4 linked regions of the Tamandua tetradactyla genome follow. The main gene of each other region encodes a partner of the protein of the gene in region 4 in a complex. Links are inferred from orthologs where the notes say so. Each region holds a gene or a part of one and is shown on either strand. Other genes may lie near its edges. The genes, in order: PPP2R2A, PDCD10, PPP2R5D and PPP2CA.

What was found.
Region 1: the proteins of PPP2CA (region 4) and PPP2R2A are in contact, whole or in part, in a cryo-EM structure (PDB 9C6B), measured with the Homo sapiens proteins. The link is inferred for Tamandua tetradactyla from reciprocal best matches to the Homo sapiens genes PPP2CA and PPP2R2A. Residues at the interface, in NP_002706.1 of Homo sapiens: Arg89, Tyr91, Val126, Tyr127, Gly128, Asp131, Arg135, Cys266, Tyr267, Arg268, Arg295, Pro298, His299, Val300, Thr301, Arg302, Arg303, Thr304, Pro305, Tyr307, Phe308; in NP_002708.1 of Homo sapiens: Tyr86, Leu87, Lys88, Ser89, Ala173, Asn174, Ala175, Glu190, Asn201, Leu202, Trp203, His204, Ile207, Thr208, Asp209, Arg210, Ser211, Phe212, Asn213, Ile214, Val215, Asp216, Met256, Ala260, Leu261, Asp263.
Region 2: PPP2CA (region 4) and PDCD10 share a complex: the UniProt entries of both Homo sapiens proteins name them as parts of the core of STRIPAK complex. The link is inferred for Tamandua tetradactyla from reciprocal best matches to the Homo sapiens genes PPP2CA and PDCD10.
Region 3: the proteins of PPP2CA (region 4) and PPP2R5D are in contact, whole or in part, in a cryo-EM structure (PDB 8U1X), measured with the Homo sapiens proteins. The link is inferred for Tamandua tetradactyla from reciprocal best matches to the Homo sapiens genes PPP2CA and PPP2R5D. Residues at the interface, in NP_002706.1 of Homo sapiens: Arg89, Tyr91, Arg121, Gln122, Ile123, Gln125, Val126, Tyr127, Gly128, Tyr130, Asp131, Leu134, Arg135, Ala140, Trp143, His191, Trp200, Arg214, Ala216, Leu243, Met245, Tyr265, Tyr267, Arg268, Cys269, Arg302, Arg303, Asp306, Tyr307, Leu309; in NP_006236.1 of Homo sapiens: Ile80, Lys82, Asn188, Pro189, Ala192, Glu193, Phe194, Asp195, Glu198, Asp199, Glu200, Ile288, Tyr289, Glu290, Glu292, Lys332, Val333, Lys334, Lys367, Phe368, Trp369, Pro370, Lys371, Thr372, His373, Ser374, Pro375, Lys376, Ser413, Pro414.

The regions. Positions count from the first base shown.
Region 1 is NC_135329.1:27,163,398-27,170,521, forward strand, and holds the start of PPP2R2A (serine/threonine-protein phosphatase 2A 55 kDa regulatory subunit B alpha isoform), read left to right. Parts: upstream 1-4,122; 5' UTR 4,123-4,126; coding exon 4,127-4,163; intron 4,164-4,589; coding exon 4,590-4,664; intron 4,665-7,124. UniProt on the Homo sapiens protein: Substrate-recognition subunit of protein phosphatase 2A (PP2A) that plays a key role in cell cycle by controlling mitosis entry and exit. Involved in chromosome clustering during late mitosis by mediating dephosphorylation of MKI67.
Region 2 is NC_135331.1:64,792,556-64,799,575, forward strand, and holds the start of PDCD10 (programmed cell death protein 10), read right to left. Parts: upstream 3,002-7,020; 5' UTR 2,765-3,001; intron 1-2,764. UniProt on the Homo sapiens protein: Promotes cell proliferation. Modulates apoptotic pathways. Increases mitogen-activated protein kinase activity and STK26 activity. Important for cell migration, and for normal structure and assembly of the Golgi complex.
Region 3 is NC_135331.1:100,572,203-100,579,548, forward strand, and holds the start of PPP2R5D (serine/threonine-protein phosphatase 2A 56 kDa regulatory subunit delta isoform), read left to right. Parts: upstream 1-4,342; 5' UTR 4,343-4,458; coding exon 4,459-4,485; intron 4,486-7,346. Other genes in the region: PEX6 (peroxisome biogenesis factor 6), read right to left, coding at 206-1,093. UniProt on the Homo sapiens protein: The B regulatory subunit might modulate substrate selectivity and catalytic activity, and might also direct the localization of the catalytic enzyme to a particular subcellular compartment.
Region 4 is NC_135346.1:13,268,866-13,276,135, forward strand, and holds the start of PPP2CA (serine/threonine-protein phosphatase 2A catalytic subunit alpha isoform), read right to left. Parts: upstream 3,003-7,270; 5' UTR 2,641-3,002; coding exon 2,539-2,640; intron 1-2,538. UniProt on the Homo sapiens protein: Catalytic subunit of protein phosphatase 2A (PP2A), a serine/threonine phosphatase involved in the regulation of a wide variety of enzymes, signal transduction pathways, and cellular events.

The sequences.
Region 1 (7,124 bases), on a different chromosome or scaffold from region 4:
AGGAGATCTAGATTTAGCAGTTACTGGTGTACATGAAGTTGGTGTAAATAAAATTGCCCCCAGAGAGTGTGTGCTTAGAGAAGGGAACCCCAGACAGAGGCCAGGGTGACAAATCACCCTAATATTTAGAGGATGGGCTGGGAAGAGGGGCCAGCAAAGGAAACTGAGCGGGGTGGCTAGAAAGACTGGGGGGAAACCAATAATATATCAAGAGAAAAAAAAACAGTCACAAGTAAGAAAGGAGTGATCCACCATTTCAAATGCTGTTGGAAAGTAGAAAAAGATAAAACAGAAAAAGGTAAAAAAACAGAAAACTATTGGCTTTGGTAACGTGGAGATCATGACCTTGACAGTGAAGTGATGGGGATGTAAGCCCGAGTGCAAAGGATGGAAGAGAGAATGTAGATAAGTAAGGGGAAACTGCCAAGAGCAAACCTTAACCTTGGGCTAGTGGGTATTCTGGCCTCTTTTCCTAAGAAGAAAAGGAAGCAGCTTGTGGTCCTCCATAGGGATTACTCAGTGTCAAAAAGTGCCAGGTCACTTATATCAGAGTGCCAGAGTGTACTGACCCTTGATAATTAGATCCATCTCAATTCATCCCATATTCATATAGTAACCTTGAAATTCTATGTAATATTCTTAGAACAGTGGCCAGCATATAGTTAGTTACTATATGAATTTTTGTTATAATTAGCCCTCTTCCCAGGCAAGATTTATTGGTTTCTAAGAAATTATTTACATTGACCAAATCATTTTCAGGGTCTTACCCATGGCAAAAACTGGAGCATAAAGAAGAAAAGTGACTTTATTACAAGAATCTCAGTCCTGTTTAGTGGTCAATTCCCTTACACTTTCTCTCCCTGAGAGTTCTGGTTAAGATGGCGATCTAGAGGAGTCTGGGCTTGAACTACCAAACAAAGGCAGAGAAAACAAAAAGGAAAACTAAGGGTACTGGCATATCCAGAGAAATACATTATGAAATCAATCGCTATAGAAGTAAACAGATATAGAGTGGATTTCAATTTTGGGTTTGTTTGTTGATAAAGTGAGAAATAATGTAGAATTGGAGGGGGCATAATATGTTCCATCTGAAGGACTTTTGGAAACTTGTTTTACAATTGAACCTTTTAGGAAACCAAGAATAAGGTAGGAGGTGGAAAAGCTGGGGAGGAGGTGTAAATATATTAATCTTCCTCTCTTTCTTTGTCTAGGAATGCCTTATCACTCCATTCAGCCTTAAGGTCAGAGTTTTAATGTTTTTGTAGGTGTTTTTCATATGTAAAATGCGGATCTGTCTCTTACAGGATTATTGCAGAGATCAAGTGAGATATGTAAAGTACCTGGCTGGTTACTGCATCATTAGGGTGTCTTTGACCAAACTGCACATCCCTTCTTGGCTGATGACCTGCTACTTTTCCAGCGTGTTCTTTTCCCCTTTCTACCTCTTAACAATATTGAAGACGCTTTCAAGACAAATCTAATAATAATGGCAGCTATCATTATTGTTTACCGTTTACTCAGTTAAACCATTTAGTCTCCAAAACATTATTATATGATAGAATTGTTATCCCGATACCACCTAGTCAGTATTTGTACCCAGGCAGCCACTCTACAGGGCCCAGTTATCTTAACTATTGATTCTATTACTTTTGCTGTACAGACCTGGGTCACTTTTCTGGCCATATTCTGCTACTAGCAAACTCAGAAACTACTCTTCTAGCTTTCAGCTTCCGAAAAGGACTCGTGCCTTAGTTCCTGGGGCCCATGCGAAGGTAATTTAATTCACCCAGATGGAGCCGGTCCAGTTGCCTCTTTCTCAGACTCGCGAATTTTCACCTTGGTTGTGCAGCGCGTCTGCTTTATGTCATCGTCCCTTTATTTCACTGACTTCAGGATTAAGCCACAGTCTTACTCTCTTAAGTAGCAACACGAGTATTTTCAAAAAAGATATAATACACTCAAGAACCCCTCCAAACCCTGCGAGTGAGCACGTGAAGCGGACAGCTGAGCCGGCCCCAGAGTCCCCGCACCCAGGCTCCTTTCACTGATCCATTCCTGAAAGTCGCGTGGGCTTCGGAAACGGTGGTGTGCAATGGGCTGCGGTTTGAGTAGTCTACGCAAAACCAGCCGGAGCGGGAGACTGGTAAGAGCCGGCGGAGGGAGCGCCGCAAGGGAACCACCATACCAGCAGCGCGTGTGCCAGGGCGCCGGGCAGGCGGGGACGCTGCGGGCGGGGAAGGACCCAGGCGCTTGAGGGGCGGGACAGGGGAGAGAGCCGGGAGACCAAGAGGGCGTGGCCGGGAGCCAGCCCGGCCGCTCCCCTGCCCCTCCCCCGCTCCTCTCCAGTGCTCACCCCGCCCCGCTCCGCCCCTTGGGCTGAGCCCCGGGCTCCACCCGCCGAGTGACGTCACTTGCCAGGCCAGCCGGCGCCATTTTGAAAGTGGAGTCGCCTGCCCCTGCCGCTGCTTCCGCCGCCGCCGCCGCCGCTGGAGAAAGAGCAAGAGCCGGGAAGCTTCAGAGTGAAATCCACCATCCTGCTGGCTGGTCTGCCCGCCCCTTCTTCCTTCTCCCCCAACCCCCGCCCCTTCCCCCACAGGTGCTATCCGCTGCCATCCGCCCTCTCTACCCCCCCATCCCCAGGTGAGGGGGGTGAGTTCAGGAAGCAGAGACCCCGAGGAACCCAGCAGGGTCACCATTTGCAGCGCAACATGGCAGGTAAAGGAGAAATCACCCTCGCCCACTGACAAGCAACCGCTTCCTCCTCCTTCCTCCCTCCATCACCCCCTAGCGACTGCCTGGGTTTCATAGAGCCACGGAGTGCTCTTCGGTTTTCTGGGAATTGGTCAAGTTGGGGTGGGGTGGGGGTGGGGAGGGTTCTGGTGAGGCGAGTCGTGGCTGTGCTACCACACTGGCTTTTAAAATAAGGGCTGGAACCCTTGCATGGGGGGTGGGTGCGCTCGGCCAGCAATGGGGTAAGGCGTGGGTGGGGTGGGGCGGGGTGGGGGCGAGTGCAGATTTGTCCGTACTGCTTTGGTGTCCGGTGTATCCTCCACCACCACCACCACCCCCATCCCCCAGGGCTTTTTTTGTATGGCTCTTCCTTCATTTAATTCTATTTCTCCCCCTGCAAACCTTCTTGGTTGGGTGTATATACAATTATATTTTGCACAGGAGAGGTAGAGTGGTTTAGAAGTCAAAATACAATGGGAACATACGTGCGTTTTTCTCCTGTGGGTACGTAAATTTTTGAGACCAATGCTCAATTTTTTACCTTGAACCATCTCCCTTTTGAATCTTAACCCTTTAAGGCCTTTAATATGGCAGGTTGCATGAAAAATGTAATTTAAACTTTCCGTTTTGCTTGTTAGCTTTTGTGCAGATGTCCTTTCCCCAAAAGGGTTTCATAGAGTTAGTTAAAATAGTGATGGAGTTCAGTGATATAAATAGCAAAAGGGAAAGATATTTGGGTTAAAGCTTGGGGAAAAAAAGAATGTATGGGGAAAACCAGGTTGGAATATTTAGTGAGGAATGGGAGTGAAGGAAGAGAGAGGTAATTGCTTGGAGGATTATTTTTGTACTTTTTAAAATTTTTGTGCTGCCAAATAACTTCATCTAATAGAATCAGTTCTAGATCTAGATTTTCTTACTCTATGCATGCAAGACATTTTCATGATTTTCTTCTCGGTGCTTGGAAGTGAAATAGAACTATTCAGGAACTCAACCAGTTTTTCCACACTTTTTTTTCAATGTGAGATAGTTAAACCTTTCAAAAAGTTTTAAAAATATTGGATCAGCTTGCATTTGCCATAGACAAGTTGCCCTTTGGCTTCGTTGAATAGTAAAATGAAATTAAAATTGTTTTGCACAAGATGATGACAAAATAGAAAAATAAAATCCTTCATAAGATCCTTTAGATTTTGAAGGATAAACTAAAGGGGGGAGGAAAAACAAACTTCCTTTGACAAGTAAAACAGCATTCATTTCGGTTTCTTTTCCTCTCTCTGTCTGGAGCCAGTGATTTGCTGGTAATGAAATGCAGAGAAATGGGTGGTGAGTGTTGTGTTTGCTGTGTGTGCGCTTTGGTGATAGGGTTCATATGAATCATTTACTTCTCACCCAGGCGGTAATGTTCCTGAAGTTTTCTCTTCGTTCTATGTTTCATGGTAGTTTAAACTTATTTACTTTCCTGCAGGCTTTTGGTACTCTTAAAGAAAAACTATTAAGCTTTTGGTATTTACTTTTTTCTGGTAGGTCATGCTTAAATGTAAAGCTTTTACTGCATTTTAGGGGAAGGGAAAAATGGAAGGAAGTTTGGAACACATGTACAATGTTAATGTTTGTACATGCCTTTAAATATTTCTTACCCGAAAGCTCTTTTTTCCTCCTCCTTTTTTTGAAAGCAATGTTATAACCAACTATTGGGGACTGATCTTTTTCCAAATTAGTACTGTGGAGTGGTGGTTATGTGTGTGGGCAGTACTAGGCTATTAGAATCATGCCAATCATGGATACCATCTCTGTGTTTATGAGAGTAAACATGAACAGAATTCTGTTTTAATTGGTATGTTTTTGTTGTTGTTGTTTTCCAGGAGCTGGAGGAGGGAATGATATTCAGTGGTGTTTTTCTCAGGTGAAAGGAGCAGTAGAAGATGATGTAGCAGAAGGTAAGAAAGTGTTTAGTAATGCAAAACTTGAGTATAGAATTTTTTCAAATCTTGTTTACTGAAGGATTTCCTTGAAGCTGAGTCTGTAATAGTTTAAGAACATTTCGTGTTTATTGTCTGAGAAATGGGAGAACAATTTTAAAAGTTACCTTTCGAGAAAATAGTCTTGACTCTTTAACACCTTTTTTGTTTTTTTATGCCTTGTTTTGTTATTATTTTCCTGAATTAAATGAAAGGAGCAAAAAATAAATAAATAAATGAAAGGAGCAGTAGATGATGATGTATGTAAAACCATCACAAGAAAAATCTAAGGTTCCTAGGATAAAGGTTTCCTTGCTATATACATTCTACATACAAATAAATGGTTTTAATGTTTGTACCTTGTTTTTAGATAATTAAGTTGAAATAGGTGCTTTCACCGGTTAGCTCAGAACATTATTGACAGCAGCTTTTATTTTTGTGGAAAGATTTTTAGGTTTTTTTGAACTTGGCAGTGTGGTGTTGGTTGGGATAGTCTATGAAGAAATTCTGGCTCACAGTATGCATTTTATTGTCTTGTAGAGATTAATTTAGGTGGATAAGAAAATAGCATTATGAATATATATCTGGTCTTTTGGGGAACTTATGTTTTTGTGCAGTTAGAAATTGGGCTTGATCAGTTGAAGAACTTAAGTCTCATATCCCTTTCCCACCCCCCAGAATTGTATATTAATGTATTTCAAAAATTTTAATGTTTTTGCTCTCAATCAGGAGATGGCCTTAGGCAGCGGCAGTGGAAACATTATTTCCCATTAAGTAGTTGCATTACTTTATCATCAAGAACCATTATATAAAGTTTGAATCTTAATAGTATTTGGAAATAGTATCTTACAGTAGGAATTTTCCAACAAAATTCGGTTAAATAGAAACGTACTTAACTTTAAAAAAATTTGTCTAGTGAAAATTTATACCTCTTCATTGTCTTGGTTGTATTGTCCTCAATTAAGATCATATTTCTGACCCACAATCTAGCATGTTGGGTTTGGTGGTAGGTAGATGACTTTATGTTGAGCCAGCTTTGTATTTGCTTGTGTTACTATAATTTTTAATGAAGTTTCTGATCAGAGTTTTGTGAAACCTGTGGGATGTCAACTGGCATATGTTATACCAGTAAGACTTGACAGAACACCCTCATATTTCTTTCCTGTTGTATCCTCACCTGTTTTTCAAATGAGAAACCAGCAGCTTACAGAAGTTGAGAAGCTCACCAGTAGGCCCACAAATATGTACTGTGTTTCTGGCTAAGTCTGTGGTGTTTGACTTGTTCAGAAAAATAAATCCTAAGTTCATGGGAGGAGTCATGTGTTACTCATTTTGTAACTCCATTACCTGTTGAATAGTAGGCGCTCAAATATTGGATCGTTAGTTCTGTGCTATTGTGTAATAGCCACCAAGTTAAGAAAGTGCTGTATACTTAAAGACATTCCTTCATTCAATTCCATTATCAGGTTCTAGTGGGGGCCTCCTAAGTGCTGAGCCCTGGGAGTATAAGGCATCTTGAACAAAAACCCTCCCCTTTGGGGGTTATAATTTACTTAAACATTAGGCAGAAAGACCACATGGATTTTATTTTCAATCAGAAGGAACTGATGTTCTAAATTTACCAAATTGAATCAAATGATGGTTTGTGATATATATGGTGGGTCAGTCGTAGTTCTCTTATACTTGCTGTATTTTGCTACTGATTCTTTAAATAATGAATTTCTTTTGAGTTTGTTAAGTATTATTTTAATATTCAGTGCGCTCTTGGCATCCTAAAAAAGCTGAGGCTTGTTATGTCTGTTTTAATCAAAACAGTGATTTGTCCTAGTACGTATGTCTGTACAAGTGGATTAAAGATAGAGAGCATCCAGTTTTCAAATTATGCTGCTTTATTTGCAGTAATTTTGCATACTATGATTTGTATTCCATAGTCTGTTGTTTATTTTACTAAAGGAATACTTGCTGTTTCGAAATAAGTAGGATTATTACTACGTATTTCCCCATTGGTTTAGATTATAATTTTTAAAGAGCTGATGTCTAGCTCATCCTTAAGCATAGCTTTTGCATATTCTGTTAATGATTTATATCCGTTTCTTTCCTGGTAAAGGCTCCAAGTTGTCTCTCTCTATCCATGTACTGTCCACTGCCAAGTCTATGTTTTTTTACACCATCAGTGCTTTCATTCTCTTTCTGTACCTACTTTCATTCTAGCTCAGGTTCTCAGTATCTCATCTGGATTACAGTAATTTCTTCCATGATTTGCTGATTCTTGTCCTATGTTTTCCTTCTGGGGTTAAGTACTGTCCCAATTTGGTCTTCTCAGAAATCTTCAGTTATCCACTGAATTTTGAATTAAGTTCAAACATGTAGTAAGACCACAGTGTGACCTTTCACCAACATGGCCTGTACTGCTTTAAGTTTATTTGCCAGTATGGTTTA
Region 2 (7,020 bases), on a different chromosome or scaffold from region 4:
GTAAGAGTAGGTTCTAATATTTGAATATTTGAGTCACATTAAGTCTTCTTCTCCTGTTAAGATAAATAATCTAAGCAAACTGAATCTTTACTTCACAGTACTAAAAGTCTGGAGTCAGAAGACCAGAATTATATCTTGGTTCCATGAGTTACTAGTTACATGAACTTTGGCAAGTCACTTTAACAATCTGAGCATATTCACTCCCTTTATGAAACAAGGACTCAATAACTCTACCTACTAGGAATTACAACAATAAAATAATATATAGTCCCTGTTCTTACAGACCTTACATCCTTACAATCCAGTTAGAAAGAGATATAAACGAGATACACCTTAAGTCCTGTAAAAAACGATGTCCTGAAAAGCACAAAACGGTAAGAAATACGGACACTGGTAAACTGTAAATGATTATAAAATATATGACTGTACACATTACACAGTGAACCCTTAATTATCCAGTGTGAAAAAGTACAAAATGACCACAGTACTCCAGCACATGACTGAAGGATGACACATACAAGAGAACTTTTACTCTGCCATCCCAACATACAAGAAACAATACGAAAACTATCTAGACCTTAGTGATAAAGATATGTTATTGCTAGAACTGAATGAAGATCAAGTGCACTACATTTCATTTATTTCCAAAATTTCCTGACTTACCTCAAAAAAGTTTTTTTTACAACCTCATTAGCTGCATGCCAAAAGCTATGAGAACTCACTTCAACCTCTGAACAAAAGCAAATGTCTACAATACCATCTAAAAACATACTTGCTTTATCATCACTGACTCATGTTCAGTTTATGGTCTACTTACACTGCCGCACCCTTCTAATACAGCATTAAACCAGTTATCCCCACATACTCTTACATCTATTTTTTTTTCGTTGGTTCTTCCTTTCCTATGTATTATCATTCATGGTGCTGCATTATTCTGGATATTACTTCATTCTATAGTATCATACCTTTCTTTTATTTTAGAGGTCATTATTAATTTCCAGACCATCTTAACTTCAATCATAGGGGAACAGAGTACCTCTGATCGCAGAAAAAGTTTTTGCATTTAAAAGTTAAACACACTTTTGATCATATTATTAAAGTTGCAGAGGGCATTCAAACTTCAGCATATATCGATGGTCAAATTATAAACAGTAAACCATGATTACTGCTACCTATAGTTAGTTGATTCCTGAATACAAACTTTATGAAGAAATCTTGAAGTCAAAGAACATACTCCTAAAATTCTATTAAAGAAGTATCCAATAATAATAATATTCATGGGCTACAAGTGGACATACTTGGTCTTATTTTTAGAATAAGACTATTCTATTTTTAGAATTCTTATTTTTAGAATAAGACTGGAAAAAACGCACTACCTTGTGCTCAATATGAAATAAAAGTGTTTTTCTTTCATTAATGTAAAATAAAGATTAATTAAAAAGAAAAAAGTCTTAGATGATGTTAAAAAAAATAAAGCAAGATATAATAGGCTGGTTTTATGATTTATACACACACACATCCCACTTCAAAAAATGCCACTTCAAAAAATGAGGTAAACGATAAACAAAAATCCCAAACATAAAATGTGATGTTATCTCCAAGAAATGCAGAGTATCTTTTTTTCTAGTAACGAGCACACTAAACTCTTTTAATACTGCATATCTGAAAAAAATTGTATGTCGTTTTATGAAAGAATTCTAATCCCATCATGCTGAAAATGATGGTAAAGTGAGTCCTGTGATAGGAAGGGGAAGGAAGATTCCTCCAAACATAAGGATGGGATATACTGTTTAACTGTTGTTCTCATACATACCCTTTAAAATAGCCTGTAGTAAAACAGTATATCATTGAATATACCTCTAATAAAAGGAAATACAAATATGTAACTTGAAACAGATTCTTTCTTTCCTTTGAAGAATTTCACCCTAGCTAAAAAAGAAAAAACAAAACAAAAAACTCTTCACTTCTCAAATGGCTTCTTAGAGAAACCATAAAATACATCACTTCGCCACTTCCTCCACCCTCTTCAAAAAACCTAACCAAATGGGCTATTTGGGGGGCGGGAGAGCGGCAATTCTGAATGGACGCCGACTAGATTCAGATTATCTGCCTCTACGTGTGTGACCTCGGGCACGTCATTTAACTCTGCTTCCTCAGCAGCATCCCGACGGGAACGTGAATCAGTAAAAGGGTAAACATACCGTAAGTCCTTTCTGCTTAGGACAAAATTACCTCCTTTGAGGAACATCAAGAAACTGGAACTGAATCCGCAGATTCCTGTCAACATCTGACTCTTCCTTCTACGGTTCTCCTCTTCCCTCAAAGGGCATAACCCGAGTCACCCCGAGGAGCAGCCTCCCAGGCACCCCTTCCTTCCTTCCTCCACTCCTCCCCTTTTCCACTTCTAAAGCAGTCTCACCTCCTCGCCCCGGGCCACACCTTCAGAGGACCCCACCCAGGTACATCCGCCCAGACCCCCTTCTGGGGTTCCAGAGGCCAACCTCGCCCTTGCTCTCCCGCCCCCAGCTAGAGGAGACTTCCTGGAGGCGCTCAGGCCCAACAGGGCAGGCGGCATTTACAAACCCGCTTTACGCCACTCGCGTAGGGTAACCTCGCTTACGCCCATCGGGCCCGGCTCCCAACCTCGTCCGCTCCGCCTCCCAGAATCAAGCCTGAGCGCCTCAGCCCGGGCCCCTGTGTGACCCGAAGCCCCTTCTGCTCCGCTCGGAGCTACGAGGACCCGGAAAGAACAGCCACACCTTACCGGCAACTGGGGCAGCGACTCCACTTCCCACCTTTGGAGCCCTCTTCAACTCCCAGATCAATTCACTCCGGCGACGCCGGAAGGACCCGAGAGGAACCAGGCGTTGTCCGGAATCCTGCCCAGCCGGAGTCGCGCAGGGGCCTGTAGGGACTCGTAGTCCCACCTGCTGGCCTTGCCGGCAATTCCCGCCTCCATCGGACTACAAGTCCCGGCAGCCTGTGCGGAGGAGCCTAAGGCGTTGGGTGGGGACACTCCCAGCCAATAGTCAGCGAGTTTCCTGCCTTTGCGGGAGGAGGTGAGATGAAGAGACAGGGTACTCGGAAGGGGACGGAGGGTGGGGTCAGCTCTCACCTGCACCAATCAGGGCGCAGGGTCGGTCCCGCAAGCGACTCACCCATTGTGGGGGCGGGCGAAGGGTGCAGAGGAAGGGAGGGGCCCGAGGTGGGGGTACGTGTGAGCGGAGCGGAAGCCTCGGGGTAGTTGAGGGAGCAGCCAGTCCCCAAGCACCCCTAGCAGCTGTACCCGGGTCGGGGCGATGATAGGCTGAGCCAGGGCTCTCCACGAAGACGCCCGGGCGGGGCGGGAAGCAGCTCCAGGTGTGAGGCCGCTGGGTGTGGGTAGAGTGGTCCCGCAGGGGACGGAGCAGCTGCAGAAGTGCAGGGAGCGGGAAGGTACTGGGCTGCAGCTTCCCGCCGTCTCCATCCCCGGTAGCAGTAGGAACAGCAAGGGGAGGAGCCACGGCTGCCGAATTCACCAACTAGAGAAGGGGAGGCGGGGCTTGGGTGCCTGTAAAGCCGGAGGCTCAGCCTGGACTGTAGTTTCCCGGGAGAAAGGAGAGCTGGAGCAAGGGCGGAGCACGGTCCTCGGAGCATCCGCTCCAGCATCCTGCCAGGGGTTGCAGGTGTGTGGGAGGTAAGCGTGGGTGCCGCTTCGGGACGTACGCACGCTGCCCCGGAGAAAGCCTCATCCAGTAGGAATTATGTCAAGGAACAGCTCAGAGAGTCTCTACCTTGTATTAGGAAACCAGTACAAACCCTTTTGGGTGAAAGAGGTACATTTTTGGACTCTGAGGCGGGGGGAAAGCAAAAGGTGGTTTGCCTCCGGGCGTAAAGGGCGTGGCTAGGGTTGTTGCTTTGAGTTGTAGCGTTAAAATTGTTCTGGGAGATCCCCAAATTGAAAGAAATCTTGCTAATTGAGGACAGGGTGGATTGTATCTAGATAGATGCGTAGCTGTTAAAAAGCAAAAATTTTGTCGTTGATACAGAATTACTTCAGAACTCCTTCATTAGGAATATAAGTTTGCATTCTTCTTCAGCCTCTGCCTTTTACGTTGATTTATCAGATTGTCCTGTTGCTGACCTGTTTTCCAGGGAGGTTGTACTGCAGGTTCCTAAAATTGAAAGAGATCTGTATTAAGGAAGCAAAGGCAGTGAGGAATAGTCAAGACGACTGACCCTACCAGAAGTATAACTTTTGCCAACAATACTGTAAAAATGCATTTTAATGGATGCTTTCCTTCCAGTGGCTCTGGTATATTGGAACAAAGACCTAGAGTCAGCTAACAGTGGAAACATATGGTGTACTTTATTGCTCTTTATTTTCTCGTTTGTGTCTGGTAATTTTTATACATTTGAAAAACAAGCGTAAAAAAAAATACTGTGAGAGTCTGTTTTCTATCTAGAGGGTATACTAAATGGTTATCTTAGTATGTGTTCTGATGGGTTCAGACATAACACGGAATGTCTTAAAACAGTTTATTCTCTGCATTAAACCATGTGCATTTTCTTTCAATGTAATTAAATATTTATGGATGGAAATATGTTTTAATACTAAACTGTTTTAACACTAAGTGAAGATGAAAGTTGCCTCTACCTTTGTGTAACTATGACACAATTATAATTTGTTCTTTTTAGTAAACTATGTAAAAGGCTACTTGTCTAGTTCATGTTTTTTCCTTTTTGTTACAGAGGTTTGCCAGATTATGATGGCTTTTAATCATAGTAGCATATTGCAGCACATTTTGCTCTGAAATGCCTTCATTGTGATAATTGCATATTTCAGAGTCTGAATGCTTTAATCTGGATTTCTTGAATTAGGGTCGTTAAAATAGAATAATTGCTTTCTATTTTTTTCTGTTTTCATGCTCCTAATTTAATTAGGATTTTGAATTTTATTTTTCTCAAGAACACACAATTCCTTTTAGAACAGAAAGGCTCAAAAAAATTCTCTTGGTAGCTTAAAGTTGAATACTACTGAGTGTTTGATATCCTAAATGACTTAGTACATAAGTCCCCCTCTCCTACACACACCCACCCACACACATTTACACACCAGAGAAATATGTAGAGAAGAAAAGATCTTAGAACAGCACCTGCTCTTAGATAGTACATAAGCAGATCAGGTAAGTGTTAGAAGCAGGAAAGAGCTTTAAAGAAGAAAAAGCAACAGTAACCACTAAACTTAGCAGCCCTGGTTAGGATCATATCTTATGTTTGCTAACCACAGGAGAGTCTATTAATTCACATAGGTGATATGACCCTGTGAAAATTATTTTAGAGGAGAAAAAGTGGGTATTCGAATGTAGTGAGGCATGGAAAAAATTGTTTGCCCTTGTTATTTGTGGTCAAATAGGTTGTCCTTAATTAGGGTCTTAATTTCTTTCTTAGGCTCGGCTCTTGATCATTTTATGAAATTGAATGTTGCTGTCACTGGGTTATTTCCCCCATATAATAATAATAATAGCAGTGAGGTTATTTCAAAGCCCTTATTAAAAGATCTTTTGAAAGGGTTTCGTTGGGAATCACTTAATAACCAAGCAAATGAAGAAGAAATTAAATACCAAAAAATTTGAGATTGATATGTTCTTTGAATCCCAACTATATATAGATCGTCGGCTCTGAGCTATCATAAGCTCTAGAGTCTCATCAGGAATGAATGAGTTTGCAGTATTAAAGTAGTGAATTTTTTGCCTGTATCCAAGATTTGGATCCTTTTCATTGTGTCAATGAAAGAGATTGGGTTCCTGTATGTCACTTGAGAGTAAGACCACGTTCTGATAAGGAAGAAAATGATTGGCAATATATACTACTTGGGCATTTCTTTGTTACCTTGAACTCTTGACATGTTTTAAATTGACGTTCATATTAAATTTCAGATTATCAGAAGACTTTTCTTGATCGTATGTTACTGATACTGAGAGCTGCACTATATGGCAGACAGTTTATGAATTTTGTATAAAGCCCTACCTAGATTAAAAGCATACTGTTTAATCTGCTCTTGATTTTTACTAGTTGTGTATGAATACCGATGAGGTTGTCATGATATGAAGAGAAAGAGAAAGAAAAATCAATAAAGTACAGAATGTCTCTCCTGAATGGAAGGTGCTCTGGGGGTATCATTCTTTACCAAAAGACTTGATTAATTTCAAATGCAGTATGTTCTGGGCTTTTTAAATTTTTAAATTCTGACTCTAAAAGTCTATTGAGTAAGAATAATTGAGAAACATGGGTTTCTCTTTCTAACAGGAGGATTCACTGATGTATGCAGCACAAAAAGCAAGACTTAAAGGTTTGAGATCAAATGATTTTGGTGCATGAGGTGGGATAGGGGTTATATGTATGAAGAAAGCTGCTTGAAGAACATACTCTTAAGAAAAGCTAAAAGAGATTTAAGCTTTTTTGTTAAATACTTATGATTCCATGACTTTTTTTTCCCCCCTAATTTTTTCTAGAGACATTGCTTGCCTACATTGACATTTTAACTGGAGCCAGACTGAAATTAATTACTAAGATTTTGAATAAGCCTGGGTTATTAGAGCAAAACAGAGAAGATCACGTGCATATACCCTAAATTTTAGGTAAAACATTATTATTTGCATATGATTTAAGGCAAAAAAACCAAAAACCTAGTATAATGTTTTCCCCCTAATAATAGAGTTCCTTGAAATGAGACAATAAAGATGAGCAAGAGCCACTTTTTTTAGGAGTATATTTTATGTTTTTTAAGGAAACTTCTAAGGTTAAACACTGCTTGGGAATCAAAATGAATTGTTATACAAAGGTAAGGGTTTTTTGTTTTCTTTTTTGTCCTTTAATCTCATCCCTAAAGTTTTCTAATATTATTCTCTAATGTAAGAATTTAGTCCTAAAAGTTTGAAAAGCATGTTTTAAATTAATAGATTATTAGACCGTATTCCTCTTTTCTTGAGACCATATTCTTTTTTATCTCCTGTGCTTACGTCATATCATACTCAGCAT
Region 3 (7,346 bases), on a different chromosome or scaffold from region 4:
AGATGAAAATCCTTCCCATGCACCATCACACTATGGAGGCTCGTGTTAGATTTGACTATGAAGAACGGATAAAGCTAAGAGACATAAATGAAGGGTTCAGGATCCTAAGGAGTAAGGGGCCTAAATTCTACAGCTCTGGTCTTCTAGTTTAGTTAAGAGGGGATAAGGAAGAGGACGCTTTCCTGATCTTGGTACAGTATCCTACCTGAATTCTGAGCTCTCCTATTTCCAGGGGGTCACAGCCAAGATTAAAAGCCAGAGTGGCAGGGACGAGAGCCATTCCCTCAGCCAGGGGCTCTCCCAGCTGTCCAGACCCGGGTCCCAGCCTCTCAGACAGGTCCCAGCGAGGCTCCAGGACCTGCATCTTGGCCAAGTGCGGCTGCGAAGCGTTCGATGTCTCTTCTGCCCGGGCGACCCATACCCACTCGCCCTGGAAGAGGCCAAGACCCCGGAGACAGCTCCTGCTCACCCCCAGTGAGTCTCCGGTCCCTCCCAGAACTCCCCGAAGTCGCCGGACTGTGCCAAGAGCTGCGAAGGAGGACACCACCGGCGGGGGTGGGGGCCGGCAGACGTCTTCAGTCTCCGGGCCCGGTCTGGCCCGCCCGCGCAGCTCCGTCACAGCCAGTCGCGTCCCCGGGCCCAGTAGCCCTTGCAATGCCGGCCGCGTCTCCAGCACCCGTGGTCCGGGCGCAGGGAGGACCTCTCCGCGCCTCACCAGTAACTGCCCAACCCGTGGCACGAGCCCGGGCCCCGGCGAGGTGCCAAGCAGCGCCCAGCCCAGTGCCGGAGGCCGCCGCACCGACCGCGCTCGCACCCACGCCCCGGAGCCCAGTGCCAGGAGCTGCAGCAGCGCGCGGCTAACCAGCAGCTCCGGGGGCCCTGAGCCTGAGCCCTGCTCTTCAGTTCCCGCGCCCGGCCTCTCCAGGGCCGCCACTAGCAGCGCGGGCCCTGCCGGGCTCTCCCCTGCAGGTCGCAGGGCCAGCACCAAGCCTAGCCCCGCCGTAGGCCAGGGGCCCCCGGGTGGCAGCAGCACCGCCAACGGGGGCGTTTCGGTAGGGAAGGGCTCCAGAACTCGCAGCACCGCCAGCGCCATACTGACAGGAGTCCAAACAGGAAGGCGAAAGATCGCGGCTTCCGGAGCCAGCAAGCGGGGCGACGCAACGACGTGTGCGCCGCTTCCGCTTCCACTTCCATTTCCGTCAAGGGAGGCGAGAAGAAAGCGGGAGTGGGTCGCGTGCGGCGAGCATGCTCTGAGAGGGATGCGCGGCGCCTTGAATTAATTGATCAGGATGGTGACTTGATGGCAGTAACCATTAACGCGGCGGTTGCGCAGCCTTTACGCATGCGCCCTTTGAGCCTATGTTTACAGGAGTTTACGTTCCGTACCTTTTAGAAGAGTAACGTGCTCTCCGCTTTACAGTTTATTAATTGACCAATGAACAACCAGCGTGTCTGAACTTGGCTTGGTACTGGGATCTGTGGGTGGAGTGTTTGGGGAGTCCATCCTCCTGTGAGCGCCCGCAGTGGAACCGCAGGCACTGAGGTTTGGGAATTGGGACGATTGCAGAAGGAAGTGGTAGGGTTATAAAACTCTGTCTTAGACCTGCTTATGGATATGTAGTGGTTGCTGGCTGAAATACTACATGTGATTCATGTAGTTCTGGAGTGCTTGGTGCTGCCACACCTGTTCCAACAGACATCCTACACAAAACCCACGTTCCAACGTTTCTTGTCCTGTTCATTGTCTTGTTCGTTCTACTCCCACAAGAATGGAAGCGAAGACAAAGCTGCATTGCTCTTTCATCTCCCCCCAACCAGTTGCTCTCCCCCACCAACCTTCACAGACTGGAGCCCATTCCGTTTCTACCTTAGAGGAGGCAGAGAGAGCAGCAGAGCAGGCCTAATTATGGGAGGGGGTCGAAGCTTCTGTCATAAGCACGGAGCACCAAGCCTGCTTCCCACTTGTGCTGTAACTTAAATTCCATCCTTGTGTCCACCCCCACTGCTCTGTACAAGACAGTCAGACACTGGTAAGCCACACATTTGCAATTATTACTATATTTGCACTGAACGTCAGTGGATTGAATGGTGGGAATTTACTTTCTGAACTTAGCAGTCTTTTCTAGCTGCTGCCCAGCTATCTCTTTTCCTTAACAGCTAAACATTGTGAAGCAGTCTTCTACTTTGTAGATTATGCACTCCTGAAAAAAAAAGTTTGAAAGTCAAATATCTGAAAGTTGAATATTAGATGTGCATGTTATGAGAAATATCTGTCCCCAGAAAGGGAAGAAAAAAAAAACTTAAAAAGTTGTTTACCGCCACATCTATACAAAAGTGTTCATGAATTTAAGTACCTGGATTTCATGGATGAAAGTTCCCCTTTGGTAGCATTAAGCTATATGTGGCTCTGTCCCCTGCATACCAGTGGTACCAAGGACTGGGAGAGTGGAGGGGAGGTAGGCAGGCAAGGAAGATACCTGCTTTACACAGAAGCAGGCAAACTCTAGGCCTCAGGGCTGTGATGCTTCTTGGAGTCTTGCAGATGGGTAAATATATCTGGCATCCTGCCTGGAGTCCCATTACCCATATCGACACAAATACCCCTCCACAAATAAATGTCCTTTCCTCCTAGGCTTATCCCCCAGTAAATAATGGCATGCCATCATTTTGCTCACTTTTAAATCATCATTAGTCATAGAAAAGTCAATCAAGTTCTGTAAGTAGCCTGTATTTGCCATCTTTACTTTCCTACTTCTTGCTCACTCTTCAATTCACCATAATCTTGCTTCTACTCCTCTGAAACTCCCCTGGTGAAGATCACCCATAACTTCCCAATTGTAGAATCCATGGTCTGCTGTTTGATCTTTATCTTATTCAACCTTTCTAGAATCTAACACTATTAACCAGTCCTCTTTCCTGAAAATATTTTATTCCCTTTGCTGTCATGACACCAGCTTTCCTCCTACGTCTCTGGGATGTCTGAAGTCATCCTCAACTCCCTCCTTTCCTTTACCACCCCCCATAATCCAGTGCATCATTGTTGGATCCTACATATTGCCCAATTCCAACTCCTCCACCCCCATGGCCACTGTACTATAGCATTGCTCTCCTGAGCAAGGACCACGGCTTATTCTTTTATTTTATTTTATTTTTTTAAATATCAAAAACACCAAACAAACACAAACATTCCTATTTTGATCATTCCATTCTATATATATAATCCATAATTCACAATATCATCACATAGTTGCATACTCATCATCATGATCACTTCTTGGAACATCTGCATCTATTCAGAATAAGAAATAAAACGAAACACAGGCTTATTCTTGATGAACCTTCTCCAATTTCTTCATATAACCAATCTGCTGCTGAAGTGGCCTTTCTGAAACATATGTCTTCAAGCCTCTCCTAGGCTTGTGTAGTTGGTCGATCACATTGTATCTTTTTTTTTTTTTTGCATGTGCAGGCACCAGGAATCCAACCGGGCCTCCAGCATGGCAGACAGGAATCCAGCCAGGATTGCACCACCCTATCACATTGTATCTTAATCATCTGTTTTTACAAATCTGTGAATGCCGCCGAACTGTGCACTCCTTGAGGTCAGGAAATGAGTCTAATGAGTCTTATCCATAAAGTCACTGGCTTGGGCAGGATGGAGGGAAGGGATGGATTTCTTGAGACACTGGCAATGGAGTTGCTTTTCTGTCTTGTCAACTGCTCAAGTCTAGCTGATTCCCCAATCTCAAAACATTTGCAGTAGGAATTGGCGACCCACTTCCCAAAATTGGAATGAAGTCGGGATGAGAACCCTAGATGGCAGCCAGGTCAGGTTCTTCTGCAGTTCCCGTCCAGGGAGGCAGACACCCTCAGAGGTCTCTTGGGACCACTCTCTACTAATTTTGCTCATGCAATTAAGCGCTGCTTTGCTCCGATGAAGGAAACTGCCCTTCATTTTAGGGCTTCTTTCTTTCAATTCAGACTGGGCAGGTTAGCAGAGTGGGGAAAGTGTGAGAACCACTTCTGGAAGGAATAAGCAAAGCTCCAAAGGCTGCGAAGAATGGCCAAGGCCGACGCACACCGTACGCTGGAGTACTGCACTCGGAGCCAAGCCTGGGTTTCCCCTTACCCCCGCCTCCTTCGCTAAGCTCGACCCACTTTAAGGCGGGACCTCCCACTTCAACCAATTCTGGGAGCTGAACCCTGGCGGTTTGTACTCTTTCTTTCCAATGGGAAAAAAAGGAAGCAGCTTGGCTCCAATGGCCAATCCGAGGAGGCGGCGCCGGGTTGTCAGGCAGGTTTGTAAGAGTTCGGGCCAATTGGAGGCGCAGACACCTCTCGACCGGGGCGCAGCGCGCAGGCGGTGGCAAAGAGACGGCGGAGCGGGCCGAGTGCGGCCGAGCAAAGCCGGGGCCGGAGCGGGGCCGCAGGAGCCGGGCTGGGTCCGGACGGGCCGAGATGCCCTATAAACTGAAGAAGGAGAAGGTGAGCGTGGTCCTTTCCCCCGCGCCTCCGCCTTGGGGCCTGCGCGGAGCTCTGGGAGGGGCCCGAGCCAGGCCCGGGACAGCCCAGACTGACCCTCCCGTCTGGCCCCCGCAGGACTCCCCGGTCCAGCCTGTCGCCCCGCGGCTCGCAGCACCACCAGCCTGTGCCGCAGCTGGGACAGCTCCCCTACCTTGGCCGGAACCCATTCCTCTCAAATACACCTCCCACTCTTCCTCCTGCCTCCTATCCCCGGCCCCGGGTAACCTCCTCCCTCCAGATCTGCCCCACTCCCAGGTCACTCCCTTGCTTTTTCGCCCCCGCCCCTTCCTCCCAACCTTCCCCCTCCGCCCCACACCCGTTAGGGACAGCCCCACTCATCTGAGAAAGCACCTCGCTCCAGATCTACCCCCTCCCCCTTGCAGAGCCCCTTCCCTTCTCTTTTCACCGCCTAGATGGCCTCCTTCTCTCTCTGCGCCAAGCCCCCTGACCCAGGAGGCAGGTTTCTCTCTCTTCCACCCGAATCTGGACTAGGCCCCTCCCTCTAGTTCTTCACACACAAACTTGTGAGCCCTTCCTTCTGTGGATGGAGCCTCAGAACGTCAGCACTGGAAACGACTTCTCAGCACCGGCAGTCCAGCCTCTAGTGGGACAGATGAGGGGACTGAGGTCCTGGGATGGGACTTGTCCAAGGTCACACAGACTGCCGGAAGCAGAGCTGCAGTATCGGGTCTCCTGACCTAAAGCCCCCCACTCCCAACCCCAGCAGTTATCAACTGGCTCCCAGATTCATCCTAGACTAGTCATCCTTTCTAATCTGAGCAGGCGCCTCCCCTTATTCCTAATCCTAGGATAACCTTTGCATTTTTAATTTTTGCAGCAGTGCTGGATTTCTGTCTTTCCTGGGTCACACTGTTCTCAAATCAGGAATCGGTCTCAAAGTCAGATTAGTTTTCCTTCTTACCCCCATGGGTCAGCCACCCGTGGACACCCATGCCTTTGTCATGGTGTCTTGACACAAGCCATTTCTTGATGTTGCCTTCTTCCACCTTCCTCTTCTTGAGCCATATCACCTTTCCCTCTTCCTCATCCCTGCTTTTTTCTACCCTCTGTTTCCTGCTGTTGCTGTTGGTCTGACTCAGAGGTGTGGTTCCTTTGAGGTACAGACTCACACAGAGGATGCTAGAATACCAGTTCCAGCCACCCCCAGCTTCTCCTCCCCTGGGACCGGCCCCTCATGGTGGGGCTGGCTCTGGCCTGGTGTTCTGGCTGCCCGCTTTATGACCCCAGAGGTGTATTGCTTTCATTTGCTTTCTGATTGGATTGGCTAAGTTGCTAGGCTGCCATCTCTAGGACCTTATCAATCAAACTCTATCCTGGGGCTATTGGAGATTTGCCAGGCAGCTGTGATTCTGGGTTGTCCCCATAACCTCTTGGCCTGAGGTTTGGAATATGGGTTTGGTGATAGTATAATAGCTACTAAACCTCCTGGGGTGCTAGCTGGGCAGGATTGTGTGCCCCTGTCCTTGGGGAGTGGGCATGCAAGGTGATTGGGGCAGCTTAGCTGTAGATGATGCACATAAAGGTCAGCCACACTAGGGGCTCCTTCAAGGAATGTGGAAGGGAGCAGAACTCAGTTGAGGTCCCCGCCATTGATAGCTTTTACTCTGATGGAGCAGATACTGTCCTTTCCACAGAGAGCTGTTGCCTACTGGATAATTGAAAAGAAGAAAAAGTCTTAATTAGACTTGTGAGGGCCACGGTATAAGTATTTGATTGAGAAAGGGTGTTGGGATCAGGTGCATGCAGCCAGGCATAACGCTGATTCCCTTTCAGGTTTAACTTTCAGCTTGATTTTTGGCTGCATTTGGCCTCCTTCAATAGTTGGTAAGTCCTGAGGGAGGAGGGAGGTAAAAATGAGACTGAGGTTTGCCTGGATGAGGCTGGGCAGAAAGAGTGGCCAGTGAGTAGAGGATCTTCATTGCTCACACATCACTTCTCCTCTCTCCTTCATCTCTCCTAGTCTCAATCCTGGCCATCCTTACAGTCTCCTCCCTAAAGTCTTGTCAGTCTTCAGTTGGGAGTGAACTCTCCCTCATCCCCTCGATTTGCAGAACACTTGATAGGCAGCTTATGGACTGGAATTTATTGTGGACAAATTTTTTCTTCCCCCTTGAGATAAACACCATTTTGGTTTTAGCATCTCCCTTGCACACAGTAGGCTGTATGTGGATAGGTGCTGAGTCAGTCTTGGGGAGATTTTCATCCCTCCCCTTCCCTCTTTTTCTGACCTGGGATTTCTCTTATTTAGGTTCCTGGGTAGAGTATCCCTGTTCCCTCCCATTTTCTTCTTGTTCATAATAACAATAATAGTGACCAACCTTTAGAGTTCTTACATGCCAGGCACTCTGTAAGGGAGGTAGGAACTGTGTATGTCACCGTTTAATGGATGAGGAAACTGAGGCTCAGGGAGGCTAGTTAACTTGCCCATGATTATACAGCTAGGAAAAGTTGGACCCAGAACATAAGGCTGACTCCCAAACCCATTTTTTTAAAACCATGGGGCTCCCCAGCACTTGTGCATGGCCAGGCTGAAGTACATACATACCTGTTTCCAAGACCCAGGAAACAAGGGTGACAGGCCTAGTTTCCCCACATGCACACACACTCACTCCCACACTCACCCTGCTTCAAGGGCAGCAAGAATATCTCTTAGGTACCTTCCCTGAGGGATACGTCTGAGGCATTGTGGTAAGTGCCTAAGGTTGGTGGAGGGGGACAATAAAGAATAAGGAGCTTATGATCAAGTAGAGAAAAAGAGAAATCAAACGTGTGTGCAGATGGGTCAGCCCTGTTGGAGAAGC
Region 4 (7,270 bases):
TGCCAATGCAAAAAAAAATTTTCAGTAAAAGAGATTTTTTGTTTTAGTAGAAATGCTGTATAAAACCATTTCAAGCTATGCATCCTAACTCATCCCACATACCTAAAAAGCTGCCTTCAAATTAATTACCTTGTAAAGTTGATATAGTTTCAAAAGTTGAAATATTTACAAGCTAAAAACAGCACAAAGGCTAGGTGATGAGAGCCCCCACCTCCACCCCCACAAAGAGTCATTCCATGGAAACATTTATGTAACACTTCAAATATTATTTTCATCCTTTTCGCTTTCAAAACTAAAATGTGGACAAGCTAACTGATCAAAGGAGACTTGAAAACAAGCTTACTTCACTGGTACCTTAGTTTTATAAAGATATGGAAAACAACATTTAGCAAATCCATCAAGCTTCCCTCACCCTACCTCAGCCATCCAGTTTTATCTTCCATGTCTCCAACACAAACCCTCAATTTCCATGGTACATCTCCTTACTGATTCCCACACCACAGTTGTCTCTCCAACTAGATTCAAAGCTCCCTGAGAATAGGAATGATTATTTTTCACTGTTTTGATTCCCCTCAAAAGAGTAAGCAATTGTGGATACCCAAGAGATGTTCAATACTTAAATACAAAGTACTATATAAAACAGAATTGTAAAGTCGCAGGAAATTAAAAGGGATTTTAGAATGCCTGTTCTAAGTATTTCATAGACAGGTAAATGAAGACCAACTGAAGCGGTTGTCCCAAGGTCAGTCTCAACTACTCACTCAGTAACAGAAACCGGACTTTTGGGTCCAAGTCTAACTTGCAGTTGGGTGGTCTTCAGATTATATCATCATTACCTCTCTTCCAATGTTTTCTACAGGAATAACTAGTCATCTAGTCCAATATTGACTTGCAAAGAGTTAGTACCAAACCCCTAAAGTCAGTAAAATCATTATATTACTCAGAAATTAAGACAGGGCAATATACATTAAATAATTTTTGAAAGCCTATTTCAAACCTTTTAAACAAATACCAACCTTATGTGACATAAAAGAAATGAGTCAAAAAGCAACAAAATATTCAGTACACTGCTAACCATTAAAATAAAGCTCCAACAGATGATGTGCCACCTCTAACTAGCAGTGCTTTGTTCAGGCTTGGAATAAACTAAATTTGATTCGCTTAAATTCCAATTATTCACAACATGGGTTCTGAGAAAGTCTGTCGTGGGAGCATATACATTAAACTCATGATCCTAATTTTCACATCAAACCACTAATGAGTCAGCATAACAGCTCTCTAATAACTTTTCACTAATACAAAATGCTAATATGACATTCCACAATTCTGTACTAAAATGAAATGCTGCAAAGTTAATTCTGAAAAGGGAAGTTTAAACTATTCAAAGTGGTGATCCTTTTCTAAACTTAAGAAAACGGAGTTACAAGACTTTTAAAAATACACACAGCTAACACGCGTACAATTAGGCAAACCGTTTCCCCAATCCCTAAGGACAAATAAAACAACTAGATAATATAAACTACAAAGTTTAGCGTTATTAAGTGGACTACACCCAACCCATTTTCAACGTCTTTGAAATTATCTAAATTCCAAGATGTGTTGAGAACACAGTTAAGATTCAATCCGCAGCTATTATTATTACTACTACTAGCACTAAAAAAATAAAATCGAATTAACTTTTTCAACAAAGAGCCACAATTCAAAACCTGCCGCTCTTCCAGTTTATTGCTCATTTTAAAAATGGCAAAATGCCAAGTATGTTAAACTTAGAGAAGGGTTTCACACAACCCAATTTGAGTCAGCATATAAATCACAGATTAAACCGAACCTGATTTCCAATCCAAAAGCTCCTTATGCAGTGTGACTCACCAAAGTCTTCCTTTCTTCCAACTGTAAAGAAGTATTTTATACTCCTCCCCATAATTATCACTTTGACCTTGGTATAAATTAGGTTACAGATTTAAAATTTCTTAAAAATGCACTTTAAATAAGTGTCTGGAGAACACCATTTGGTGAATGTAATCCAAACAACCTGGGATGGTACTAAAGCCCTGTGATCTTTAAGGTCCTAGATCTGGCCGACAAGCTTGCCTTTGGGGATTCTGTGGACAGCACAGCACCTGAGAATTAAGCTTAAGTACAAGTAAAATACTCCTTAACCACCTCACAGTAGAGGCCCAGGCCCCATTCCCAGGCCGCCATACCCAAGTCCCTCTACCCGGACCTTAAAATCGTCCAAGACCTCGACACACAGGGTCTCCGCTCCCCCAGCTACTGTGGTCCGGCTCCAAGGCCAAGAGGCTCAGAACCCCTAGTTTCTGGCGAACGGCGCCATTTTAAGCGGCGGCGGCGACCAATCCTTGGGCGGGAGACAGGGGGCGCCGGGTCCTCCGGAGCCGCCGCCGGGCCGCGCCGGGAGCCGGTCTGGGAGGAGCTGGGGGCCCGGGACGGCTGCCTCCGCCATGTTGCCCCCTCCCGGCGGCCGCCTCCTCCGTGGGCTCACCCCGCGGCGGTTCCCGAAGCTGAAGCCCAGCTTACCTTCTCGCAGAGGCTCTTGACCTGGGACTCCGACAGCTGCTTGCACTCGTTCAGCTGCTCGATCCACTGGTCCAGTTCCTTGGTGAACACCTTCTCGTCCATGATGCCACCCGCCCGAACCGGCTGCCCCTCCGCGCTACTCCCGCGCCACAGCCCGCACACGGGCCAACCGCACACACTGCCGCCGGTTCCCGGGATATTACTGGGGCTGTGTGCGGTTGCTCGACCCTAAAGCTGGTCTGCCGGCTCTTTCCGCACTGTCGGTCACTGGCCGCTACGCCTCCTCCCCTTCTCGCTCTAGCGCCGGGGCTCGGTTCTCTGTAATGGCGGCTGCCCGGCGTGGTGACGTCACGCCCGGCGTCAGACGCGGCGAGGTACGAAGGGGAAAAGGGCTGGGACCCGAGCTGCGCAACTGCAAATCGGACGCTGGCTGACCGCAAAAGCCCAGTGTGACGGTAACTAGGAACCAAGGCGCAGGCGCAAAGTCGCCGGCTGATAAGTGAGGCACCTTCGCTTTTAGGGCGTGGCCTCTCAGAGAGGGTGGGAGTGGGATGGAGTTCGGGGAGGCGGGGAAGAACCGAGTCTGAGCGAGCGCAGTGTTTGCAGAGGCGAGCAGGGCATTTTCCCGAGGTCTACGCCCCGCGAGGCGCCGGCGCCGAGTTCGGCGCAGGCGCAGTCCGTGTGGGAGGGGGGACTCCAGAGCTGCCTGAGTTTTCTCTTGCCGAGATCGGCTTGGTAATACGCCTCAGCGGTTTCCTTGGGAACTGGCGGGCAGATCACGGAAAGGAAATTGCGACCACTCCGCTGGCCCCTCCATGCTGCAACAGCGCGGGAATTGCGTGGAATTCCCGTATCTGTGGGGCCAGGGACCGGGCTGAGATGCAACCTGGTTGGAGTGAACCAGACTCTGGGCGCGGCCGGCAGCTGGTAATTGGGTCACTCGTAGGCGGAAGAAGGTGTACCTGCTGGGGGAGTGCCGCCCAGTGCACCCGAGTGCCCTAGCACACACCTGTCCCCGGGCCTGGGTGTCTCGTCAGGCGTGGTGGCGGGGCCAAGGCTTGGGCTTCTGCCCGGGACTTGGACACACCCCGCGTGGCCTTTCGCCCCAATTGTCCGCCTTCCTCCGATCCCAGTTTTCCCGCTCGCCCTTGCTGTTTCCCAGAGTGGGAGGCCGCGGGGATGGACGCGTCGGTTCCGACCGCTTCCGGATGGTGACAGACGCGGCGATGATCCTCGCTTTTCAGAAAGCCCGGATACCCTAAGACGGGACCCCAGTCTGATTGTGAATCTCTGTGAGGTTTGCGAAACGTGTTCACATTCCGATGTCCCAGAATTTACAGAAATATTTGGCCTTGGAGAGTGCCCACTATGTGCCAGATAACCAACCCTGCGGAGAGAGGGGTCATTCAAACAGTCAAGGGACGCTGCCCGGATGGAGCGTGCATTTTCCCAGCAGTACCGGCTTAAAATGGCTTGAGGAGAGACAGAAGAGGGCTTATGATGCCCCCAGAATCTGAGAGGTAGAAGCTTTGCAAAGGACACGTAGCCAGAAAGGGCAGCCGTCTCCTATCTTCTAGGCCCCCTGCCCCCAACACAGCCAGGCCCCACGCGAGCACGGCGCCTTGTACCGGGGGAGAGCGCTCTCAGCTCAAAGGGCATCCCGACCGACAGCCTGGGAAGAAGGCCTTGGAGTCCCGGATTAGCCAAAGGTGGGACTGAAAATCCTTCATCCAAGACAGTGTTTGGCAAGGCTAACTGGCTTGGCCATCCCAGGCTGGGAATTGCAATTCTGCTTTCCTGTCATGCCTCCCACTACTGCACCCAAAAGAGTCCCTTGAATCTCTGCAGAAAGCTTATCACATACTTACCAGACTGGGGAAAAGCCTTTTTAGACCAAATTCTGACCCTATTTTGCAGTTAACATCCTCCAAAAATAGTCACTTAAGACCAGGTGGAATGAATAAGGAAAAAAATCACCCGTGCCCATGATTAAAAGCCATGCCCAGCGTGCTGTCTCATCAGATCCCTCATCACTGCTCTCTTTCTCTGTGAGAACTGATCCTGTCTGATCGGCAAGAAGCAGGCAGCCACTCAGAAAAGGAACTTGCCCCAGGTAGTGATCGAGATGTGAAACTTCATACTCCCAAGTGCAGGGTGTTGTCCACATTCGCTCAGCTGATCTTCCAAGGGCTGAAATATGGAACAGGGTCCATCCAGTTTCCCTTTGTCTGCAGTTCTCTTACCTAGAAAGGTGAGGGTGGTGTTAGTTTGGTAGATTAGACAAATGTTAAGCACCTACCTTGTGCTAAGATTATGAGTGGATTTTTCTAAAGTACTTTGAAATCCTTGTTGATAGCATAAATGTAGGTGTTCTTTTCTCTTGATGCAGATCTCTTGGCTCACCAACACCATAAAGTGGAGGGAAGATGTAATTATATGTACTTAAGACATCCTGCCAAATAATTAGATGCCATGACTTAACTTCTTAAGGAATGAATTTTAGGAAGCTCTCATTAGTATTCATGTAGTGAAGTAAAGCATACATGATTATAAACAGTACAAAACTAAATTATTCAGAATATTTTTTCCTTTAGAAGAAATCTGGAATATTCTTAACTCTGTGGGACTCAAAGTAACTGATGGATCTGAAAATTCAGTTTGACTAGTTTGAACTTGACTGATTTGACTTCACTGACTCAGTTCTAGAAATGAGGACTATTTGAAACAAAAATTTTAAAGCAAACCAAAAAGAATTGTCCTTTTAATTTCTTGGCAAAAAAGCAGAGAACAAATAAAGCAAATATGGTTTGAGGAACAATCTTTGCTCAGATAACAAATTCAGTATACAGAGAGTCTGAATGTTGCCTCTGATGTTTAAACATGGCTATAAATAAAAACCATCTGATGACGGGGGCAGGGTAGGGGGAGGATAACCTTGAGCAAATGACTGTGTAACAGGCAGGCTTAGCTAAGATATAAAAATTGACATTAAACATAGAGAAAGAATTCTCTTGGCCTTAACTTAGGCCTATTTTGTTGTTGTTGGTCCAGCTCCCTGACCTCTGTACTTACTGAGACACAAAGTAGAGCAGTATAGGTAAGCAATGGCTCTGGAGTCCAGTGAACCTAGGATTGAATTCTGGTTCTGCAACTTCTTAGCAGGGCGACCTTTGGCAAGTCACTTAACTTTTCTGTGTCTCAGTTTTCTCATCTATAAAATCAAAATAGTTGTAATTGCCAAATAAAAGTGCTGTTCTGAGAATTAAATGAAACTGTAAGGGTTAGGGGGTGTATCATAAATACCCTAGATATTATTATTATTTCCAAGTGGTCTGTAATTCTAAATACCTTTTAATGTCAGCTGGAGCCTCTCATTGCCTGCCTTCTACATAATGAAATACTTAGTGGTCTTTGGAAACAGAATGAAAGGATATCAAAAACACGCCAAGTAGAGACAAAGTAGGGATGGGGGAGGAGATTGAAGGAAGGAGAGGTGGAGATGAAACAAAAAGGAACACCATCAAGCAGACATTGAGAAGGCTTGTTGTATATAGGAAGTCATTTGAGAGTAAATCCAAGAATTAATACAGTTGGTCAGTCTCCGAATCTTATATCAGAAAAGTGTGTTATATCTTAAAAGGATAAAATGCCCTTTGCACCAAACCCTTCCAAGCTCCAGAAGCTCCAAATAAAGATCTGAACAATCCACATCTTAGTGGCCCTGATCGTAAGAAACCAGGCAAGCTCTGGCCATGTGTGCCTGCCCAACTGTCAGAAGATTCCTGCATTCAACGTTCACAACAATGCTGTAATGCATTACTATCTATTCCTATTTCTCTCCTTTGTGGTTTTCAAGAAAAAGTAAGTTGATGTTGCCCTTTCAACTGGATTTAGAATTTAATAAATGTGGTCAAAATTTTGTGTGAGGAAATTTGACAAAGATATAATACAGCCCTTTCCCCTAGCTACTGAAGTTTGGCTTGAAGAAAGAGAGAGAGAGAAATATGACCATATCCCCTGGTGATGCCTATGACATCCAAATACCAGTCAGAATTACACGGAAATATTTTTATCTGTTCCAGAAAAAAAAAAACTCAGAAATGAAAGGTGAAGTTCACTACTTCAGTAGGCTGGGTAAACCATAAAAATACTGTCACCAGTTCTGCAGCTTATGAAAAATCCTATCATATATTCTCACAAGCAGTGGGGACAATCAAAGCAATAGGCTGAGCCCCCAGTCTTGGGATTTGTTCATATGAAACTTAACCCCACAAAGGATAGGTCACACCTACTTAAAATTAACCCTAAGAGTCACCCCCCCCCCCCCCCCCCGAGAGAACCTCTTTTGTTGCTCAGATGTGGCCTCTCTCTGCAGCTAACACAACAAGCAAACTCACTGCCCTCCCCCGTCTATGTGAGACTTGACTCCCAGGGGTGTGGACCTTCCTGGCAACATGGGACAGAAATCCTAGAATGAGCTGGAACTCGGCATCAGGGGATTGAGAAAACCTTCTCGACCAAAAGGGGGAAAAGTGAAATGAGACAAAATAAAGTGTCAATGGCTGAGAGGTTCCAAACAGAGTGGAGAGGTTATCCTGGAGGTTATTCTTACGCATTCAATAGATACCACCTCATTAGTCAAAATGTAATGGAGAGGCTTGAGGGAACTGCCTGAAAATGTAGAGCTGTGTTCTAGTAGCCATGTTTCTTGAAGATGACTGGATAATGATAT